Drosophila melanogaster: one gene and its partners. The gene in region 1 interacts genetically with each later gene. Each region holds a gene or a part of one and is shown on either strand. Other genes may lie near its edges.

The links.
Region 2: of rib (region 1) and Moe, changing one suppresses a phenotype caused by changing the other (phenotypic suppression), as found in Drosophila melanogaster (one study listed by BioGRID).
Region 3: of rib (region 1) and lolal, changing one enhances a phenotype caused by changing the other (phenotypic enhancement), as found in Drosophila melanogaster (one study listed by BioGRID).
Region 4: of rib (region 1) and lola, changing one enhances a phenotype caused by changing the other (phenotypic enhancement), as found in Drosophila melanogaster (one study listed by BioGRID).

What each region holds. Positions count from the first base shown.
Region 1 is NT_033778.4:19,268,143-19,273,077, reverse strand, and holds the start of rib (ribbon), read right to left. Parts: upstream 3,001-4,935; 5' UTR 2,292-3,000; intron 1-2,291.
Region 2 is NC_004354.4:8,873,090-8,880,371, reverse strand, and holds Moe (moesin), read left to right. Parts: upstream 1-1,646; 5' UTR 1,647-1,834; coding exon 1,835-1,903; intron 1,904-3,210; exon of another isoform or gene 3,211-3,316; coding exon of another isoform or gene 3,317-3,358; intron 3,359-3,619; coding exon 3,620-3,799; intron 3,800-3,934; coding exon 3,935-4,066; intron 4,067-4,312; coding exon 4,313-4,339; intron 4,340-4,350; exon of another isoform or gene 4,351-4,511; coding exon 4,512-5,278; intron 5,279-5,472; coding exon 5,473-5,869; intron 5,870-5,970; coding exon 5,971-6,183; intron 6,184-6,260; coding exon 6,261-6,425; 3' UTR 6,426-6,749; downstream 6,750-7,282. UniProt on the Drosophila melanogaster protein: Involved in connections of major cytoskeletal structures to the plasma membrane. Together with wgn, involved in control of axon targeting of R8 and R2-R5 photoreceptors, independent of egr.
Region 3 is NT_033778.4:18,153,589-18,159,890, reverse strand, and holds lolal (lola like), read left to right. Parts: upstream 1-1,872; 5' UTR 1,873-1,949; exon of another isoform or gene 1,950-2,131; intron 2,132-2,998; exon of another isoform or gene 2,999-3,144; intron 3,145-3,511; exon of another isoform or gene 3,512-3,725; 5' UTR 3,726-3,897; coding exon 3,898-3,999; intron 4,000-4,399; coding exon 4,400-4,486; intron 4,487-4,548; coding exon 4,549-4,743; 3' UTR 4,744-5,796; downstream 5,797-6,302. Other genes in the region: CG10914 (uncharacterized protein), read right to left, coding at 1-1,595; adp (adipose), read right to left, coding at 6,045-6,302. UniProt on the Drosophila melanogaster protein: Required, together with Trl, for maintaining the repressed state of target genes including homeotic genes Scr and Ubx. May also be involved in the activation of homeotic genes. Binds to a DNA Polycomb response element (PRE) at the bithorax complex.
Region 4 is NT_033778.4:10,540,272-10,545,299, reverse strand, and holds the start of lola (longitudinals lacking), read left to right. Parts: upstream 1-2,008; 5' UTR 2,009-2,395; intron 2,396-3,304; exon of another isoform or gene 3,305-3,459; intron 3,460-3,526; exon of another isoform or gene 3,527-3,955; intron 3,956-5,028. UniProt on the Drosophila melanogaster protein: Putative transcription factor required for axon growth and guidance in the central and peripheral nervous systems. Repels CNS axons away from the midline by promoting the expression of the midline repellent sli and its receptor robo.

The DNA of each region.
Region 1 (4,935 bases):
CTGAGATTTATGGGTTTATGGCTTTTCGCAAAAATGTGCCAAAATAGTTCGAAGGAAATGTGGACCAGCGTTTTACGATGCCTAACCCTTTGCTTCTTGGTCATTACCATTGAGCGACTATCGTGAAAAATATTTGCATGCGAAAAAAGGAAGAAGCGGATTTTCCAGGAAAAGCCTTGCTTTGGGTTTCAATCAATGTCTGGACTTGATAGCAGCATTTGTCATGCAAAGTAAAAAATGAATGCGAAAAAAAGAACACACACGCACAAACGCATCGAGGTTGCGTTTTTCCGGCTTTTCCCAGGCCAACCCTTTACCTTTAGCCCTCGTATCTTTTGCTTTTACCTGGGCATCTTTCGAACGAGATGCTTAGATTCTTGAGACTTTTTCAGTTGCTGAAGTGTCGCCTCTTAGAGCATCTTTGAAGTAGCAGCGGCACGTGAAAATTCTCTCCAACACAAATGGCAATTAGCGTGGCTCAAAGAAAAAAACAGGAGCCGCCGCCTACGATGGACAATGGGCAGCCTGCAGAGTTTGGTTCAGCGACAGGATCGGCAGGACCTGCCATAAAGATCGCCGCTCGCACTCGTGTGCTAATGGAGGCGAAAATTTTGAGATATCTCTCCCCTTTCCACCCAGTGTTTACACAAAACTCACGCGGCGGAAGGGCAAAAATACGAATACTATCTAGAAGATACACACTACACTCAGAGAAAAGTAGGGTTTTTAAAATATATCTTCGGAAAGTTGTATTTTTAATCGTAAGTTTATGTTTCAGCTTCCAGAAAAAGAGTTATTTCAAAATTTACATTTTTTCGAGTGTACTTTCCTGTGTGTGGGTAGAGCAACAGTCGAAAAACAAACAAAAACTGCAGCCCGGGGAAATTAATAAAAAAAAATGCAACAAGAAGACCACGAAAAAATTCAACGGAGAGAGGGAAAATTAGACAAATACGAAGCAGCGGAGAAACGAAAACGCTGGAAATTTATCGCGCGCGTCATTCGCTGCAACTAAGGAAAGTGGCACGTAGACCGCGACTTCGTAGAGCGATGGTGGTGTTGGTGGGTCCGCTGGCGGGGTTATGGTCGGGGGGAGGGTGGGGGGCGGACTACGAATGGGTCATTGCACTTTTGCAACGCACTCACAGATACGAGAGCATAGCATACAACACACAGATACAGATACATTTACAGGGCCGACAGATAGCAAAGCAAAAGGCAACATTTAAACGAGAATTGTGTAAAAAAGGCACGAAAAATTAGGCGAAAGCAAACAGAAAGAAGGCGAAACAGGAAAAGAGGGGAAGAGCGGCACAGGGGGAGCTGGGTGAAGAGCGGGAGAAGGCAAACAAGATACAGATACATCTGTGCATGTGTGCAAAGTGTGTGGGGGAAGTGGCGATGGGGGGCTACCAGTGCAACTGCAACTTTGCATGGGTCGGCCATTTTGTGATCGTTTTCGCTGGCGCAGATACAAAGATATAATCTTTACAGTGAGAGAAAAGTTTATTGACAAACCTTTTAGTGTAATTTACGAATTACATATATATTATATATATTAAATACCCCATAATTCTCTAAGAATATATGTTTTCTTTAGTTTTGCTTGTGAGAAAAGTCAAAATTGAGTTGTTGACACATAAAAACAGTGCGTAAATTAAATTTTTTCTGTGTGCTAAAGACTTTATTTCTATGGGGCGTATGGCGTCAGATATAAAACTGATGTTTGCAATGATCGTTTGTATGTAACTCAAATCGCGTTTCCCGGGCGACAGTCCCTTCACGTACATATGTACATATTTATTTATATGTATATGTAGATATGACAAAGTCGTTGCAGATCCGGCCGTAGATATGCATATGCATAGATATAGATACAAAAGTACATATGCTCTCCATGAAGCGCGCAGATACGAATGCGTTGGCTATAAATAGCGAGCCATGCCATTTGTGCCGCCAGCGCCACTCGAGTGTGGCGGTTGCAGTTGCAGTTTGCCGCTCAATGAACATGTGGAAATTCGGGAAATGGAAAGCCGACGACCACGCCCCCGTTAAGTACAGGCTAGCATTTTTCGAGCGGCGCATGGGGTGCATTTTCCACGATGTTTTCACCAAAAACACGCTCGCACACAAACGCACGCACAAATGCGTTATTTTATTTTTAGCAATTTGAGGGAAATTTCAAGTCGAGCGTTGTGAATTTTTGTTCGAATTTATACGGCCATGGTCACATGGCAAGGGAAGGTGGGGGCGAAACCGCCCTCCATAGAATACGTCTGTGTTGTACTTACCTTGTTTTTCCGCTGTTGTTTTATTCACTCCATGTACATATAGTATCTGCAAGATCCAGCGACGTTTTTCGGGGTTTGTTGAGTGCGTAGAACACGTTTTACAAATGTATCTGCTGGCTGATCAGAACGCCGATTCTAACCATAATTCGATTCACATTTTCGCACATAGTCTGGCCACGTTTTCACTGGTCCTAAGTCAGCCAACATTTTAACCGGCATTATTGTGTGTTTGCTTCGATTTTCACTATATTTCACTGCAGTTTTCTTTGGTTTTTTTTTTGGCTTGGATCGAAGTGAACTCTTTGCCTTCGAATGGCAAAATGACGCAAAGTTACTAAACAACGAAAAAAATAGTATGAAAAAAGGGCAATACAACTGATTCTCGGAAGTGTTTCAGTATTCACAAGCATTCGGATGGGCACATATAACCGTGTATCTGTGTATCTGTTAGTTCGTGTATCTCGAAGGGCGGGGCAGGGTTGGCAGCGGCGATTTACATGTGTCGCTCTGCTGTAAGTTCTGGACAGACCGCCAAACTTCTGCGGCGGTACGAGCACTGACCTTGAGTTCAGGCGTTTACCAAAGGGACTGCGAGTGGAACTGGGCTTCTCGGTTTCTCTGTTTCTGAGTGGGGACTGTATAGCCGACTGAATCTGTTTTTTAATTCTTTCGCCGATTCTCGACTGCAGAGAGAGAGCTCCGCAAAAATGGCGTGTGTGTAGAAAAAAAGCTTCGACTGTACATAATATACTAGTACATAATGCCACTGACTCACAAATTGAGCAAAAAAGCAAAGTTCCCAAACTAGCGAAAAAAAAATAAATATAAATTTGGGCCTCTGGAGGGGGGAAAGCTCTTTCGTCGAGCATAGAATTATCATCGGCCCTTGGGCCCACGTAAGAATTTTGCAAATATATCAACACAGTCATGAGTCGAAAACAACAATCGACAAATAAAAAAATAACCCGCCAGTTGGCCGCTTGTTTATCTGTGAAGCGCTTTTCAGGGTCACTCTTGATTATTACACAATTTTTGTTTACAGCAAAATGCGGCGCAAATTTTTGTAATCTATATTGGTATGTGTGTGTGTGTGCGTGCGTGTATGGTTTTGGTTCTCGAGTTGAGTTTGTTGTTTACCACGAAAACAAATTCGGTGGGCCAGGGTCAAAAAGCGGCTACGTGAAAATGCGGAAGGACGGATCGCTCAATGACAATTACAGTGAAAAGCCTTGCTAACCAATGAGCGCAGAATTGTTGTTCTATTTAAAGTGTAGAACCATTTAGTAAATGCAAAAAAAAAGATATTATGAAGTCAGAATCTTAAAAATGAGCTATCTATCTATCTATTTCTATCTCTCAGATAGATAAGTGGTGGAAGTATCTGATGGATTTAAAGGTAAAGGAAGCCCTTTAAATATTTTACCCCAGACGTGAAAGCAACAAGTTGCGTCAACAGAACCACAGCCCAAACCCAAATCCCACTCACATAGATACGTTTACACACACACTTTGGTGCGAAAGCACGCCAGAATTGAGTAACAATAACAACATTCCCGCCGTCCCTAAACTTGAACTTGAATTTCGCAGCGAAAACAAAAATTCAAGAGCAAAATGCCGGCAAAAAACAACAAAAAGCGTAAAAAAACAACGCAAAAACTAGTTGCAAACAATAACAATTTCGCGTAAACAGTCAGATGCTCTCGCTCCCTCGCTCTTTGGAACCGATGGTGACCGAAGTGGAGCCGAGGGTCTTCGGTTGCCGCTCGGCAAATTGTGCAAGCTTTCGATTCGCTTTTGCGACTCGCGAATTCCCCCGAAATTCGCAAGCCGACCAATCAGAGAGCATTTTTGCACACAACAAAAAGAGCAAAACGAAAGCTTTTCGCCAAGTGTGTGTGCGCTGCTTTGTCGCAAGTATAGGTGAGCGGGCTTTTGCTTATTTTTGGCACATCGCGTATCGCCATTTTTGCGCAAAAAGTCAAAAGCTGTCTTGACGTCGTGTTTTGTCGCTTTGAGGTGATTTAAAGAATCGCCAGACACGTGGTTCTTAGTTGGGGAATAGAACACGAATGCGCGGAGCTTACTGGGCGAAAGAATCTAACCGGGAGAATTCACCAGCCACGCAGAAGAGCTTTCTGGAAAGATCGGGAGCTATAAGACTTGTTGTGGTCTTGGTAATGACGTTTAAGATCTGGAAACATTACATATAGCATTTAGTTTTTCGATAACTTCTTAAAACTTACCTTTATTTAAAGAGTGGTTATACGATTTCGTATAAAGCTAATCGATCCATTATTGCCAACTTTTTAAAATATATAACTGCTTACATGTTTCTTTTTCTGGTATATGAATTACTGATAATTTCCTGTTTTTATTCAATATTAAGTGCGTGATAAGATCACTAAACCATTGTTACCATAACCTTGAATAAATTTAACATAGTTTACGAAAGTCTAGTGCGATTAGTATTATAACATTCTGCAAGAGAAAGCTTTTATAAATTGTTTATTCATTAAGCTTTGCACAATAATAGAGCAGAAGAGATTTCTTTCTGTTACTAAAATTTTGGCAATAAACAAATTCCGATGAATTTGCTTCTCTTATGTATATATGTAAGCTTTTCTATGCAAAGTATCTAGTCAGC
Region 2 (7,282 bases), on another chromosome or scaffold:
GACGATAATATCCTGGAAAGAAAACATTTCGTTTCGATAAGTACGACAAGACACGAAACAACAAAATGTCTCCAAAAGCGGTAAGTTAACCAATAACTATAAAATAATAAATAATTAGTACTGATTAGACAGTATTATAATAAGTTCGAAATATTCCATTATAATGGTAACCATATATCACTGGAATGAAACCACAAACGAATCTGATAAAACAAATGTTTTGCACTAGCGCCTAGTAAATTATTAAAGATTAGTTATATTAAATCACAACGAAAAGTTTGTCAGCTATCAGCTATCGGAAATTGTGTTCTTATCAAGAGAGCACTTCAGCTACAATTGTCGTCAATTGTGGAGTGTTGGGATCGCATCGCATCTTTTAATAGAACTTCTTCTGGGGGGGAATGGGGATGGCCAGGCGAAGACGTCATATTGGCCCAACTGTTGACGTTGGTAATTGTATTTGATTCTTGGACATTTGCCAAAAAAAATTTCATCATTTCATCAGATACGCAGACGGCGAAAAATTGGATTAGAAGACGACGTCATTGATATGAACACATGAGTAGATCATTATTTCATACCAAAGCATTTGCCAATTTCTTTTTGACATGTTGTGATTTCTTTTTTTTTTTTTTTGGCAACCGGAAAAGTTCTTATCTCACCCAGCGATGGTCTAATGACATTTTTGCCTCAACTTGATTGTTAATGAATGATGTATTTGTTATGAGTTCATCATGACAATCAAACACGTGATTTGAAGTGATTTTATAATACAATTTGGATGATTGAAAGGTGATTTTTGCACAAAGCTTTAAGAAGTCGTTTGCCTTTTAGGGAAATTTCTCTGTTCCAATGCAGTAGTCGATGCACATCGTGCTTGAATGGTTTCTCCATAACTTTCCCTTTTTCGCTATAGTTTTTCTCATCCATAACTAGATGTTTATTGGTCTGTTTGAATAGCTTGATATGTGAGTGCGGAGTGGGGAGGGGGGAGGGGTTTAATTGCTATTTGAGGCCCAAAAGCGGCATCAATAAAACAGAATTGACAGCCAACGCGTCGTATGATTGACGCTGATTTGTTTGCCTACCTTGGGGCTGCGTTTCTACGGCGCTCTCTCGTGCTCTTCGGCGCACAGCGCTGGCCAAATGACTAGTGTTCAAACTAAAAATTAGCTAACTATACAGCTAATTCAATCAATAATTCATTTAGAGAATTGGTTGTGTTTTGATTTATATATATATTTTTTAAATATATTTTACCATATTGCACTATTTACTTGACCCCCATTGCATTCACATACTTCTCTCGTTCTGGAAAACCCATTTGACCTCTATGGTCAGCAGTTCTTTTCTTTATGGTTGCGGCTGTCCACTTTTAGATGCATAATTAACATGCAATTTATATTAACTTGACAACGAATGACTGGGATAAAAATTTTCCCATTTTCTTGGGCAGAAATTAAGTTCATTTTGTGTTGTGTTGTGTGTTCCCTTAGCGTTTCTTTTGCGTTCTGCCGCCGCCGCCGCTTTCCCAGTGTTGTTTTTTGTTTTTCTTCTCTTCTAGCATTTATTTTCCTTTTGCCTTTTGCGCTTGTCTTCCCCATTTGGCGACTTAAAAACGTGCCGTGACTTTTCCATTTTCCTCAGTTGCCGCTGGACAACAGAATCGAATCGTCGCTTTTCCGCTTTTAACCATCGTGTCGCGTTGGTCGGTTGGTTTTCCCGCGTAGCTTGTGGCTGCTCAAGAATATATATATATTTCCCAGACGGAGATTTGCATTGAAAAGGCGTAATAATTCAAAAGCTACTGCGCAATCCGTTTTCGGTGCCCAAAATGGTCGTCGTCTCCGACAGCCGCGTCCGTTTGCCGCGTTACGGCGGAGTCAGCGTCAAACGGAAAACGGTACGGACCACACTGCTCACTATTTTCCACGTTTTTCCTGCTAAGCTGGAAAAGCGCATCCCCCTTTTCTTTTTTTTTTTTTTCATGTGCTGCACTTTTGTGGTTTCAAGTCAAAAACCATTTTTTTTTCTTTTTTAAAAACTGGTTATTATGCTCCAACTTCCGTTGCAAATAGCTGTTGTGTTTTTCATTCTCAGCGGCCAGGGGGAGAAAAAAACAAAGCAGAAACCACGGTGGTTGCATTAACCCAAAAACGTTAATTGGATTGAAATGAAAAACGTTTTCAATTTCCTAACATTGTGTCACGTTTGATTTGCATTCAGCAGCCGAAAGCGAAAACAAAACAATGAGCCCTCGGACTGAAAAGCAAAACCGAGCCAAACAAAATGATGAAGTTAAAAAATTTTAATTTGTTGGGTCTACCACACATTGTTTTTTCCCATGCCCAGAAAATGGTAACAAAAACCAGCGGATTTTCAAAGGGCCTTTAAAACTGAAATTGGTTCAATCAATCTTAACAGATAGGAAATAAAATAGTTTAAAAAAATTTGTAGCTGATTTAGGTATTTAGCAAAATTCCTTTGTATATTTCAATAAAGTAAAGGAATATTTTAAACGAATGGTTTTTAATGTAAGACTTACATTTGTTGGCCATGTTGTAAAAAGCGAACTGAATTGTTAGTTATATATACTCTATTGTCTGCGCTGCATATTAACCCCAATTTTGATCTACGATCGCATTTACTTTGATCCAAATGTGGCGATTGCGCAATGGTATGTAGTGTAGTTAGTACAGGTTGACATGTGCATGTGCTGTGTGTCCGACGTTGGGTGGCGATGTGGGTGGAATTTCCCTAGCTTTTCCGCCATTTCACATTGCAAGTTGGTCAAGTGGCACGCGCAGTGGGATAGATAGCGGCTGAGCTCTCTCTTTCTATCTCTCTCTTGTATAACCACCGATTACCACTCGCTGGCCATCCGGTCTATATTCCCATACACACACACACACACACACACGCACACCCCACACCCTGTGTTTTCCCCCCACTTATTTCCACTATCTAGAGCTGCCTGGTCATTTCCAGCTTGTTGCTATTGTCATGCCTGATTGATTTTTGCTTTGCTGTTTTCCAAGCGTGATTTTTCACTGCGGCCCGCTTTCATTTTCCCTCTTTCCATTTTGCCCTCCATTTTCCCCCATTTCCCCCCATTTTTTCAAGCATTTTTCACCCATTTGAAACGTGTGTGTGCGCGCGTTTAAGTCGAAAGCCCGACTTATGCAAGTCGTGGCAATCGAATCCAATCCTCCAAAGCGAAACGGGAGCTCTTGGCACGTGCCCTGCTCACATCCCGTTAATCCATCGACCCCTAAACAAATCGTGGGGGATTCTCCTCTGCACGCCACCTTCATCGATGGGTGTCAATTTTTTACTCTTTTTTTTTTCTATTTGGCTTGTGAGCATGCCCAGTTAGTTTGATCTAGTTAGCTTTTCATGTCATGGATGATGGCACTTTTAACTTAAGAAATGCAGCAAAAGAAACAAATAAGTTACATTTAATTAATAAAACATTCTGTTTGATTCATTCGTTTTTAGTTTGCCTTCTAAAGGCAATGCTTTGTTCTTTTATATATATATATATATATATATTTTTGCGTTATTTTAATCATTTAATACGATATTTTTTTAATATCACGACATCCCTTACTAATTTCAGCTAAATGTGCGCGTCACGACAATGGACGCGGAACTGGAGTTCGCCATTCAGTCGACGACGACGGGCAAGCAATTGTTTGACCAGGTGGTGAAGACGATCGGCCTGCGAGAGGTTTGGTTCTTTGGACTCCAGTACACCGACTCCAAGGGCGACTCCACATGGATCAAGCTGTACAAAAAGGTAGGCGACTATAAATTTCATACAAATAAAGTTTGAAGTTTATAGTTCAAAAGAATATAAATTTAAATTATTTACTAAGATTGCATGTACATCATAATATTTATAAATGTAATGTATGGTACATACATAATATAGCCCGAATCGCCGGCCATAAAGACAATAAAATATTTAAAGCGTGTAAAGAAGTATGTGGACAAAAAGACAGCCGACAGCAATGGAGTAAATCATTTAGAGACGAGCGAAGAGGATGACGACGCCGATGATATGGTGGGCAGAGATCGAGAATATATTTATATATATATATATATGCCAATCCAGCAAAGTACATCCACAAAAAGTCCCAGCTAGAACATAAACCGAATTATCCTGTAAAATGCCAATTCTATAATTGTATTGTATCGCCTCGCCTTCGAATGCTTAGCTTAAGTTAATTAGCGATTGTTAGAGACTTGATTTACTAATACAAATGCAATCTCTGTATATGATTTAATGCTGCACCACAACAACAAACAGACTGGATCAATGCCGTTTTCGACATGGGTAACACTCAGACGCCGCATGCACTTTTTTATCTATGATATTATGTTTATTATTTCATTATTGAATCGGGAAAACCAAACGTTTTTTTTTTTTTCGTATACAAATCCATTTGCAGTTTGTAAACTTTAGCGTGCATTCGCATCTAATAGTGATATGTTTTCGCTTTTCACAGGTGATGAACCAGGACGTGAAGAAGGAGAATCCCTTGCAGTTTAGGTTCCGTGCCAAATTCTATCCCGAGGATGTGGCCGAGGAGCTGATCCAGGACATTACACTGCGTCTGTTCTACCTGCAGGTGAAGAATGCCATACTGACCGACGAGATCTATTGTCCGCCAGAGACATCCGTGCTGCTCGCCTCGTACGCCGTCCAGGCGCGTCATGGTGACCACAATAAGACCACCCACACAGCCGGCTTTCTGGCCAACGATCGCCTGCTGCCGCAGCGCGTCATCGACCAGCACAAGATGTCCAAGGACGAGTGGGAGCAGTCGATTATGACCTGGTGGCAGGAGCATCGCAGCATGCTGCGCGAGGATGCCATGATGGAGTATCTGAAGATCGCCCAAGACCTGGAGATGTACGGCGTTAACTACTTTGAGATCCGCAACAAGAAGGGCACGGATCTTTGGCTGGGCGTAGACGCACTGGGTCTGAACATTTACGAGCAGGACGATAGGTTGACGCCGAAAATTGGTTTCCCATGGTCCGAGATTCGCAACATTTCGTTCTCGGAGAAGAAGTTCATCATCAAGCCGATCGACAAGAAGGCTCCGGACTTTATGTTCTTTGCGCCACGTGTCCGCATCAACAAGCGCATTCTGGCCCTCTGCATGGGCAACCACGAGCTGTACATGCGTCGCCGCAAGCCGGACACCATCGATGTGCAGCAGATGAAGGCGCAGGCGCGCGAGGAGAAGAATGCCAAACAGCAGGAACGGTTAGTACGGATTTCAAGTCATGTCTGTTTGAATGAATCAAAACTTTGGGAATTTCAACGAAATACAACGTTTCAATGACCCGAAACATAATGATTCGAGCATATCATTTCCATGAGAGTCTGATTCATGCACAGGCTATAATCTGCAAGCAGATGATTCCCTTCTTATTTTCGGTGTTCTTTCGTTTTTGCAGTGAGAAGCTGCAGCTGGCGCTGGCCGCACGCGAACGCGCTGAAAAGAAGCAGCAGGAGTACGAGGATCGGCTAAAGCAGATGCAGGAGGACATGGAGCGTTCGCAGCGCGATCTGCTTGAGGCGCAGGACATGATCCGCCGGCTGGAGGAGCAGCTGAAGCAGCTGCAGGCCGCCAAGGATGAGCTGGAGCTGCGCCAGAAGGAGCTGCAGGCGATGCTGCAGCGCCTCGAGGAGGCCAAGAATATGGAGGCCGTCGAGAAGCTCAAGCTCGAGGAGGAGATCATGGCCAAGCAGATGGAGGTGCAGCGCATTCAGGACGAGGTCAACGCCAAGGATGAGGAGACAAAGCGTCTGCAGGACGAAGTGGAAGACGCCCGACGCAAGCAGGTCATTGCGGTACACTTTTTTCACTATTTGTTGGCATCGAAAAAACCAATGAATATAGTCTTGATACCATTTTGTGTTCAACTTTATACTGAACATTGTCGTTTTTGTAGGCTGAAGCCGCTGCCGCTCTGCTGGCCGCGTCGACAACGCCGCAGCATCACCACGTGGCCGAGGATGAGAACGAGAACGAGGAGGAGCTGACGAACGGCGATGCCGGTGGCGATGTGTCGCGCGACCTGGACACCGACGAGCATATCAAGGACCCCATCGAGGACAGACGCACGCTGGCCGAGCGCAACGAACGCTTGCACGATCAGCTCAAGGTGGGTTCGAAATCGAGTCCCTTATGCTCCACTCAACTAACAATATCAATTTGATATATATATATATCTATATCTAGGCTCTGAAACAAGATTTGGCGCAGTCTCGCGACGAGACGAAAGAGACGGCAAACGATAAGATTCATCGCGAGAACGTTCGCCAGGGACGTGACAAGTACAAGACGCTCCGCGAGATTCGTAAGGGCAACACAAAGCGTCGCGTCGATCAGTTTGAGAACATGTAAAAGCTATCAAAGATCAGAGATCGATAGTGCGCGGGAAAGAGAGAGGGAGCGGTGAGACTCCAGAAAGAAAAAGAAAAAGATATAACTACAGCAAGAGCAGATAATAATAATGATGATTGATAATGATGAAGATGATGATGAAGAATAAGCAACAAATATAATTCCGGTCGCTGGCAAAAGCCTATTGCTAACTATCCCACCAGCGACGACCCTTTTCCACCCATAAGAACACTTCCTGCCTCCTAAAGTGAATTGAAATGAAATATACTTTGTTTGACCGTCGTTTTGTCTCGCAGCTTTTGTATAGAAGAATCAAGAATAAGCAAAAAGAAAAAAAGAAAAAATAAATTAATGGAAACTAATTTAGCCGGACACAGCACTCATCAATATGAATAGAATGAGAAGACGGTTAGGAAGGACCGCATCTATATGGACAATCAGCAAATGAATGAGGATCAAGCTATCGGAAAATATGTCTAAATCCAAGCAGAAGCAATAGAAAATATACATTTCTCCTTTTCCCAATGGATTCATTGAGAAAACGGAACGAATAGTAATAGATATTGAAAAGGAACATCAGCAACAATAAACAACAACAACATCAACAACAACAAGAACAGCTACTACAACAAAACAAACAACTATTTGCATTTTCCCCCGTTATAATTATTATTTTTATTATTATATAATTACTATTTTTTTTAAATTTGTATAATTAAATAAGAACTTGATTAATTGTTTCTTAAATTAACTTGAGAGAGAGCAACAAACAAAAAGAGAAAAAATATATTATATAAAATATTTTTCTTTAATCTATTTTTGTTTTGCAAGAAAAGAAAGATTCTTAAAAAAAATGA
Region 3 (6,302 bases), 1.1 Mb from region 1:
CAGCGTCGCAGGCGGGCCTCCAAGTTCTCGCTAGCGAAGGGAACACCCAGAAAGGGCGAACCCACGTATCTTTTGTACACGCTTTCCGCCTCCTGTGTATCTGCTATCATGATGGGAAGATGCTCTGAGGCAAATACAAACACCTTCAGCCAGTCAAAGTGTTTCCTTGGGCTTGTTATTTCCAGCAGATCCAATCTGGCCAAACCGCCCAGTAGTATGCTCATCTGGGGCCGCAGCCGAAAGGCGCGCGGTCGGATCATGGTGGCGGGCTGCAGCTTTACCAGCTCCTCGGCGGTGAGCAGGGGAGATATTTGGTCGGGTTGCATCACACCCGGTGTGTCGTAGACCCAACGCGCTTCCTTGTACTCCTTGCCCCGATCGTTTAGCGTTGTAATCGGTCGCGAGCCACCGGCCATGGCAAAGGCATCATGGAGATTTTCGCGTCGATCGAAGGTGCGTCCAACCGGAGCCACTGGTTGAGCAGCTGCCGCTGAACCCGTTTCCCTTGCCACTGCGCGACGCTCCTTTTCCATTTCCGCCTTCTCGCTGCGCTCCGAAACCAATCTCTTAAAGCGCTGATAGACTCGATCGTTCGATGGACGCAAGATTGGAAACCGCAGCAGTTTGAGTGTGGTGCCCGGCCACGGACAGGTGGTGGCCTTGCGCACCAGGTCACTGGCCTCCGGCCGGCAGTAGTCCGAGTTAAGCAGAATGTTGAACAGCGAGCTCTTGCCCACATTGGTGCAGCCCACCAGATAGACATCGCCTTTGTAGGCCCACGTTTTGTGCAGCTGCGTTATTAGCTCCTCGATGCCATAGCCCGTTTTGGCGGATATCAAACTGACATTCTTGATATTTAGACCATTTCCACCGCCATGCTTGATGAACTCGCGCTGCAGAGAATCCTTAATATGCTGAAGATAGATGTTGGAGTCGCGCGGCAGCAGATCGACCTTGTTGCCCACCAGGAAGACGGGTCGCTTTGCGCCCAATATGTTTTGCATGCCCGGCCAAATGGAGCAGGGAAAATCGAGAAGGTCCACCAGAACAATAGCCAGTGCAAATTTGTCTTGAATGCGGGATATGGTGTCCACATAGGTCGATGGGGCCACCACCACATCCAATGCGATGTTGTAGTGGTTCAGAAAGTGACAACGCTTGCAGGTGATCGTTTGCAGTTCCTGCTGCGTCCTATCCCTGAATATTTCACTTGGTATATAGCCTGGCAGGGAGGCATTCGTGCAATGAAGGTCTGCGCCGCAGCCGTTGCATGGAACCTTTGAGGCGGGTAACGAAGGATCCGGTGTGCCCTGCTTATTCCCTCCCTCCTGGGCGCCCTGATAGAACTCGTAGTCGTCCATCCAGTCGTCGGGCAAATGCTGTTGTGTCTCAGGAATCGAGAAAGAGGGTTTTATTTTGGTCTCCAGAACAGAGCTGTAATGAACGTGCTCATGATCCTTGTACCGCTCTCTGGCGAGCAGCCACGCCCTCTGCCGAAAGCTCTGTCCCACTTCAGCGGCGGTATTCTGCCGCCTCGAACATGTGATAACCACATTTTTATTTATAATTTTATATAAACGTGTGGTTTTAAACATTTTGCAATGCCCACAAGAATTCTCACAGTGTCAGACTAAAGCCGTTTGCTACGAAACCATTTACATAGTCAGGGCTGCTAGCCGATAGATCTGAACGATTGTTATATTATTTGGCGTACAAAATAACAAGCATCAATTCAAGCAATGCTTTTTGTGTTATAAATCGAATAAAAGATATTTCAGTACATTAATTTGTGTTCATTAACTGGAAAAAAACAAAACGCATCGAAATTAGGCCGATTCATATCGAACAATCACGAGTGTATCGAAAATCGAAATCGGTGAAAGAGAAAAAAGAAAGCAGCGTTAGCGAGAAAGCAGAGGTGAGTTAAGTGCGGGACAAAAAAAAAGCGTGTATGTATTAAAATTGAAACAAAAAGATATAGAAAAAGCGTGTCCACGGCGCAATTAGCGTGCTCCTGCGGCGGTCGGCAGGCGATATACGCATTGGTAAAAGTACAGAGTACACGCCGAGTAAAAAGCAGCAGCGCACAACAAATAAAATGATTAGGAAAGTGTGTGGAAAAAAGACAAGTGTATGTGAACGGCGATTGTATGTGTGCGTGACGTGACTGTATGCGTGCTGCTGCTGCGTGTATATGAAATAAAAAGTAACGCGAAGCGCGACCTAATTTTAACCAAATATTACAATAATATTTGCATAAACAAAGGCGGCTCGGTTAATGTGACGCCAGGCATTTTGGTGGTTCCTGCGGCTTTCCACGAACGTTTGCCGACGCCATTGTCTGACCAAAAACAAAAGAAAAGAATTGAAATAGAATAAATCTCAGACGAGCACACTATTCCGTCGAGTGTAGAGTTCTTCCCGATTGAGTAATGCAATAACAACAAACGGAGCTGCTCAAATTGTTGAGAGTGTTGCAACTTTCGTTGGAACTCGTTTTGAACCGTTGTTGTTGTTGTTGTTGTTGATTTTGTCGCTCGCATCGCTCACTCACTTACTCACCGACTCACTCGCTCCTTTCCATTCTCCTGATGTTACCAAAACTGGTCTTCAAGAAGCAACAATGCAGTTTCTTGACGGGGAAGGGGAAAAATCAATAGTTCGGAAATTAGACAACTTTCAACATCCATGATTCAACGAAATGCACTCAGCCTAGAAGAAGCTACCGATAACCCCGGGCGCAAGAGCAAGCGAGATAGTTGCCGCCGCCTACCCACACTCGCACACAGCCACACACTTACACTTATGCAGCTGAATTTCCAGCGATGTCTGCTCTGCCTTTTAAGTTGTTGTTGTTGTAATGTAATTGCGAAATCATAACGGCAGTTGAAAGTTGAGAGCGCTTAGCGAAAGAGAACGAGGGACACAGAGAGCGTGAGACTAAAGTTTAAGCTCTGGCGGCAAACTATATGCCCTGCTCTCCCCCGCCCACGCAGAAACATACAGCCGGCTGCCAGTGTAGCGCATATGAGAGTCGCATCAACAACAACGCTATTTCCTCAAGAAGAAAAACACATGTTGGCCGCACAGTGGGATGGAGTGGGAGTGAAATTAAGACAAAGTCACTGAATGGAAGTGCGAATGGTGCCGCCATCTTGGTTCTTTTTTGGTCAAAAATCACGGAATGAATGCTATTTAACTGGAGTGCGCCTAAAAATACATTGCCATCGGCAGCTGCAGCGTGCATCGCGTGCAACAGACTAATTCCGCGTTCTAAGCCACTGTGCCGCATACGAATTCAAATAAGCAATAAGTACACATGTGTGTACGACTGAAAATGCAGAAATTGCCTTGAAAAGTGAAAGGCATTCAACAGAGCGAGCCAGCGACGATTTGATATTTTTGCCTCTTTGCTTAACCTTTGCTGGCAGCTGTTTGCTGTTTTTATTTAGCGCTGTCTCAGCACTTTGACATTTTCCAGCTCACTCACACATGTACAGAGTAACAACGCTGTGCATTCCGAACTCCCATTTCCCACTGCACAAACGCTGCACATGCGCCGCAGCACATTTATATTTGCAGAATACTTTTGGCCAAGAGACGTGCTGTTTTGCAATGCTCTCGTAACGTTCACTGCTAATTTCGCCAAGCTGTTGTTTGTTTGTCTTACTCTGCCTTGCCGTTACCGTTCGTTCACTAATGCTGTCTGTTTACTTCTCTTGCAGAGTGCGTCAAAGAAAACCCAAGCGAAAACCCACGGATTAAGCGGTCCGCTGCGAATTAAGACCATCTAACGGTGAACCTTTCGGTCACTAGTCCAAATTAAGCCTCCTGCCCACCCCCCTCCCAGCATTCTGTTCAGCGAGCGCGACGCCCCCACAAAACAAAAGCTTCTTCATGATGTCGTCGGATCAACAGTTCTTTCTAAAATGGAACGATTTTCAAACGAATATGGTGACCTCGTTCCGTCACCTGCGCGACGAGAAGAGCTTCACAGATGTGAGTAACCAAATGAAACTTTCCAGAAGCGGCGATGGAAAAACTATTGCAGTCGAACTATTAGTTAGAATGATGATATTAGATGTCAATATATTTTGAAGTTACTTATAAATTCAGTCAAAATCAAGCCATAGAAGTTCGACTGTAGTTAACCAGTCCCAGGGGCGCGCTGAGGTTTATTATGCTACTCTTGGCCCGATTGGCTCGCGGCCGCCCCTTGTGGAGGGTCAGTCACCGGCTGAGCTCAGTTGGTCTGAGTAGCAGATACCTGGCCCTCACGCTATTTTCAATTCGTTTTTCTTTTACCTGTGTTCGTTCTTCGCTCTGCGTTTTTGTTCAATTTGTTGCGGTGAAAATGCCTGGCGGATCTTACTGATTTCCCAATGCTTATTGTTCACAGGTAACACTCGCCTGCGAGGGCCAAACCTGCAAAGCCCACAAAATGGTGCTTTCCGCTTGCAGTCCCTACTTTAAAGCGCTACTGGAGGTGAGTTTTTCACGCGGTAATAACTAAGCAATCGTTTGATAATGTAATGTATGCACCCGCAGGAGAACCCATCGAAGCATCCGATCATTATCCTGAAAGATGTCTCCTACATTCACCTACAGGCTATACTGGAGTTCATGTACGCCGGTGAGGTGAACGTGTCCCAGGAACAATTGCCAGCATTTCTTAAGACCGCCGATCGCCTCAAAGTGAAAGGCCTCGCAGAGACACCCAGTTCGATAAAGCGGGAAGGTTGATGGTATTAAACAATAATCGAAACAAAAAATACATAATAAATAACAACAACCAACTATAAGAAACTTATATGTACGCAAGAAAACAAAATTCCAACCAGCGGCAAAAGAAACAACATTACGAGAACGACATTTGGTATACAAATTCATATAAGAGTGCACGAGGAGGATGAAGAACGCCAACAAATGACCACACAAAGCTAAAGCTGGACAGATTGAAATGATTAGCCTGTAAAGTAGAGGTGGAGGCCAAATCCGCCCGCCCACTCCCACACCCGCTCATTCACATCTGATCAACCAAATTGCAAAAAAAAAAAAAACAACACTTACCGACAACCCCACAGAACTCGATTTGAATTCTTTTTGTTTAATTTCTGCATAAAATAGTTTGTAATATATTATTAACAATACAAACCACTCTGTATAAATAAAACGATATGGACAGCAGCCCCTAAAGCAAAACAAAACATAACGAAACGAAACAAAACAAAAAACGCACTTTTGTAAAGTAATTAAAGAAGATCCATTTAAAATATATAAAGATAATTATAAATATAGTGTGAAATGTGCAAGTAGATGGAAAAAGCCACGACGGGCGCGAATATTACAACACATTCGGTTAGTTTTTAAGCCACTAACTACAACCCCAGACATGCCACGCCTCCAGACAGACAAACTCATTTTCATCTATATTTAAACAATAAAATAGAAACAAATGCAAAATTGTACTTCAATTAATTGTGTGTGGACAAGCGCGTTTTTCCCCAACTTCTGATCATACGCGAGATACATACATATATTGTATTAATAACAAAACGAAGAAAAGGTGTTTCAGTGCGAAGCTAGCAGTTCTACACAGTTTAAACAAAAGAGTAAGGAAATACGTTAGAATGAAAAATACAACTTGAGTAAAAACTATACTTGAATATTATTACATAAAGTAAAATATTTATATGTATGTATATGTATACATGTGAGCATAGATTTAAAGAAACTACGGTAAATAAACAGAATAATTAAAACAAAAAAAAAAAAAAAACAAATGCAAATCATCCTGAGCTTTTCATTAAATTACGATTCGAAAACCGGTCGATTTGCATGTCTGCATTTATTTTAATAGTCTTTCATAACATCCTTCATAAGCTTCGTACTTTGTATACAGAGTAATTCGTTTACAAATTAACAAAAATATGTTCGCTTAGCTTAAATTACACTAATATTTGATATATTGCCGATTGGATCTCGCTTGCTGTTGCACATGCATGCAGCCAATATAGATCAAGATGCACAATAAGCCACAGTTCCTAATTATTGAAACAGTACGCATTGCGCGTGTGCAGTTCGAATGGATCGAGGCGCATCTTCTCCTGGTTATCCTCAACGAAACGCGTCACATCCGCCACGAGATTGGGTCGCTCCTCGGCGCTGGCGGCGCACGGCGACCAGATCTTAATGTTATGGTCAATGCCACTGGTGGCCAGCATGCAGATGCTCGGATGCGGCTGCACGCAATTCACGATGGCACTGTCCGCCCGATAAACGGCGCGTATCTTGCCCGTGTC
Region 4 (5,028 bases), 8.7 Mb from region 1:
GAGCAAAAGCAACGGCGGAAAAAATTTCAATTACATATTGACTTTTGTTTATTTGCTGGCGGCTTTGAAATGGATTGGAATTTCGGTGTGTTGTGTTGTGTGAAATCACGGACTCCAGTTTCTTGTGCTTTTTTTGTTCGTGTTTTACTTTTTTGAGCGGGGTGCGGCATAAATTTTCACTTTGCCAGGCGGCATAACAACAACAACAAAAGCAACAGCGGAGTAGAAGTGTTGCCAAAAATACAAGGCACACGCACACACACACAAACACTGGAATTTCGAATGCCAAACGAGTTTTGGAACTCTGGTTCCTCTGCTTCTTCTTTCCCTCGGCGAATATTTTCTTCGTCATTCAAGAGCCAACAACAACAACACAAAAACATTAAAAAATAAACAAAAAGCGTTGAACAAAATTTCCAACTTTTATTGTTAATTTCTTTGAGCGCAGCTTTTTTAAGCTGCTGCGCGGGCGTCGACGCCGACAGCGCTACACTGCAAGAAAATATTAGTAATAGATCGGTCAAAACACTTTTCCAAATCTTACGTTTGCTCTCAAGGCATTGTAATGTGCCAATTGAGTTAGAAATCAGTTAGAAATTATATGCATATTAGCAAAAATGTAGTTTCATAAATGAATTTAAATTCTACATTCCAGTAAAAATATGCTTACTGACTTTAGTTAATCATAACACATATGTATTTCTCACCGTGTAACAGCATTATTGTTGTTCTTGTTTTTCGTGTAATTATGATCTTGTGCTGACTTTTTTATATGTACATGCATGTGTACATATATTTGCTCAAATCAAGTAATCAGTTATATTTAAGCATCAAAATCAAGTTTTGGCAATTGCTAATGCAAGGCGGTGGTAAAAAACGACCAAAGATTTATACGAATGTGTGCCGTGAACATTGACGATTTTATTAGAAAGTAGCAATTGGCAAAACAAACAGATATGCAAAATGGCAAAATGCAAAAAAAAAGAGTGGATCCATAAATTGAAAGTTTAATCTTTTCTTGACACCTTTCTACTTCCCCAGTCGGGAATTTTAATTGCCTCGCAAAAAATAATGACAGGTGTCTGGTGAATTATCTTCTTCAGCGCTAATAGCATTTATTTTATTTGTAGTAAAATTACCTAAATTAGCTTTTTATGTACATTTACAAATTTTAAGTTCTGCATCTGCATGGTGAGATCATTTCAGTTGCCGTGTAAGCTTCTTAAAAAAAACTGTGTATATATGAATGTATATATTCTTTCATATATGTATATGTATATAAATTTATAATCACATAAATATTTATGTACTTATGTAAATATTACATAAATGTATGTACATAAGTATGTTCCTCACTGCTTTGTAATCTCTAAAAATTGTAGAACCTACATTGTAAATTATGTATGACCTTGACATTTCATAATTTTTTAGAAACATTTCCACTTGGTTTATAAGAATTCGTTAAAAATTATGTTATGTATGTACATACACACATTTCTATGTACATATGTACATAGTACATCATGTGGCTTAAATCTCGTATTATGCCATGCTCTCATTATGCTTATTATAACTCTTATACATACAAAAAGTATTATAAAAGTGTTTCCCACAAATTCCACGTTTTATTTGACGATCTAAATACATAGCTTTTTACATAGAACTCCATGTGCCATATTTCCTTATGTGCTAAGCAAAAAAAAAACACATTTTCTTTGCCTTTTCATTTAGCGCGACTTCCTTTTGCCACAACCCCTTCTTCTTCTTTCTTTTCTTCCCCTCAATTCCCGCGCAAAACGCTTTTTTCCAACGAGACAGTTGCAAAAAGCAATCAACTGTATCGTGGAGTGTCCCCATCTCGCTCGCACTCACTTGTTCTAGCGCACGAACGATCTTCGGTTTTTCGAATGCAGCAGAAAGAACAACAAAAGCAAAAACTTCGTGCTCACACACACACGCAAAGCCTATTTCTTTTTTCGACTTTTATTCGAACTTTTTTGCAGCGATTTTTCAGTAACAAACGGCAACTCTCAGGAATAAAATCGTCGTCGCTCCGCTCGTTAAATTCTCGTTGCTTTTCCACCCACATAAAAAATCAGGATAAATTGTTAGTAGTCTAAAAAACAGTGCGGATTGCATAAATTCAAGCGGAGCACCGATTGGAAAAACACCCACGGAAAAAACTATGTGATGTTAAATACGTTTTTGTGTCGAGTGCATAATTTGTTGTAATTAAAGTTCAACTGCAAATGCAAAAAGACGAAATATATAATAATTTATAGGTGTTTGTGAGTGTTTGCGCCCCCTCTCCTGTGCAACGTGTGGGAAAGAGAGAGAGGGAGTGAGAAAGAGGGAACGTGACCGAGTTGCCATGAAAACTCCAATGGAAATTCAGGTGAGCGATTGTCAATCGACGTGATGTTATGCGGGGACCATCATCTCTATACGTTCACCTTTCATATGCACACTGTAGCCGTCGAAAAGATCTGTAGAATTTATGATTTTGCCACAGAAACGACACTCCTCGCATCAATTAGTATTGGTTAGAACATTTGGCATGCGTGTAGAATTTCGCACAGAAATGTTAATTTTCCAGCTGAAAACCCGATGAAACCGTTAAAAATTAAGGTACATATTTAGGTACACATAATTTGTACACCGAAATTAGAGAGAAAACGCGCGGCGATGAAGTCATGCTGGAAGCCAAAAATAAATCAACGCCGATCATAAAAACGTTTGGAGAGTGCACAAAATATAATTTGCGCTTTTTAGTGGGAAATGCATTGCACACACAAGCCGAGACCATCTTTCATCTCCCTCGCACACCCTTAAACAACTGCAACGAGAGATGGAGAGAGGTGTCGGAGTGGGGGAGAGAGAGAGCTTGCTCGGCAACGGTAATTTTACCATTTCGAACATTATGGCTTCGCTTTGCTGCGAAAAAAACAAGCAAAGCTAAAGCAACAACAAAATCTCGCCCCATGGTGGAAAACAAAAACAATACCAATGCGAATGATATTTTCGAACTCCGCCAAATATGTGCAAGCAGAGTTGTCAGCCTCGTTCGTTGTCACTTACAGTATATGAGGTTCTATTGAACAACTTTATTAATTAGTACGTACGACTCACATCTCACTGTCTATGCCAAATACTATTTACCACGTAGAGACCCTAAACAATTTTTGTGATATTCATATTCAATACTTTCTCCAATTATATTTAACATTGTCTTGAGATTAGCAAAAACGTTATCGTGTTTTTATAGACAGGCTTTTCAAGTAGTGTAGTTAGTAAATTTGACGTCCGTTGGAAACGTATTTCCTTCTTCCTTGATGTGGAACTTAAATTAGGTGGCAACCAGATAATGAAAAGCGTGTCCTCCTTCTGCATCATCCTAATTTGTCGATCTTTTGTCGTGAATTGGCAACTCTGTGCGCCAAGCATACAAAAAGCACACGTCTGAAGAGGGGTGGCAAACAGGCGACGTCAACTTATTTTTCGAACTCACACTCTCATTCGCACTCACACTCTTCGGGTTTCGCTTCGGCTTCGTTTCCAACTCTCTCGGCGCTCTTCGGGGTCTCTGCTTATGGGAACCTTTCGTTTTTTCGAGCACCAGCGGAAAGTCGCGTCAGTCGTCAGTTTTTCTTCAGTGGCTTCGCGCGTCCGCAATTTTCAGTGTGTGGTGCGTTGTTGCTGCTGCCTACTCTTTTCTTTCTGCTCTCCACGGCAGCGGGAAAGGAAAATACATACACATGCATACAGGGCCCCATCACATACAGTAAAAATAAATTCAACTTTATTGCTTTTCCCCCCGTCGCGTTATCGTGTGTGTGTGTATTAGTATTATATATATTTTACTATATATATACATATATGGATTGGAAAAGCAACACCAAAATTTGATATGTGCAAAGTTTATTGACGACTACGTGCTGCCTGTGATTCTATTTCGGTGTGTATATAAAATTGATCAATAATGTTTTAAAGTACCGCTTAATAATATACAATAAGAACTTGCATTTGAACTGTACCTGGCAATTATCTGCCTGAGATTGTGTGTGTTTTTGCATATCGAATCGATACTTCCAGTGGTGTTTCTATCGATTTTTCCCTATGCTCACTTCACGGGAGAAAGCTTTTCACCAATGTACGAAAAGAGACAGGCACAGACAGAGCAGGAGAGGGAGAGCTTTCCCACAAAATGCAACGCTGAAGTAAATGACGGGCGGTTTTCATTAATTTTCACACACGCACACACTGCCAGTGGCTCACTTTCCATGCAAATGAGGTCAAGTGTTGCAGTGGGAAATGTTTTCTACAAGTACACGTGTATGTGTGCGCGAGTAGGAAAGTTATATAAGCTTTTCATTACCGATTGCGACGAGGGAAAGCTTGATAAAAAAAACTATGATTAGTAAACACGAAGATTGCCAAGAGCGAGTTCAATTAATTGCTTTCTATTATAAACTCCTACAAAAAAGCACGTTTTTCATTTCGATAGATTCCCAAAGTCTTGGTGGCCGCCATCTTGGTTTTTCCCCCACACATAAAATATTTTGTTCAATGCTAGGCTCTCTCGCTCTTTTGGCTCCCCTTTTCTTTCTCTCCCGCTCATTTTGTCATACTCCCTCGTCAGTTTTTATGTTTGTTCACGAAAAACAAAAACAACAAGCGTGAAATTTTCTCTCTGCACTTTTCACACACACTTAGAAAAGTGGGAGAACCAGACGGCTCAGCATGAGGCAAGGAGGATGATGAGGAAGGGAGAGAGAGAACAGTCGCCACATATTTTTGTTTCCACTTTGTGCTACACTTCTGCTACGCCGCTTTTGTTGTTTTCTTTTCGACACGTTTACACATTTCCATTTTTCATATTTTCGTGTCGCCTAATCTTTTTTATGGGACTGCGCGACGTTGCTAAATTTCACTTGTGACTTTTGCAAAAGTTTCATTTGTTTACATTCTACGCACATGTGCAGAATAATAACAATAATAAATGAGATATAAAAAAGCTTTTGCGCAACA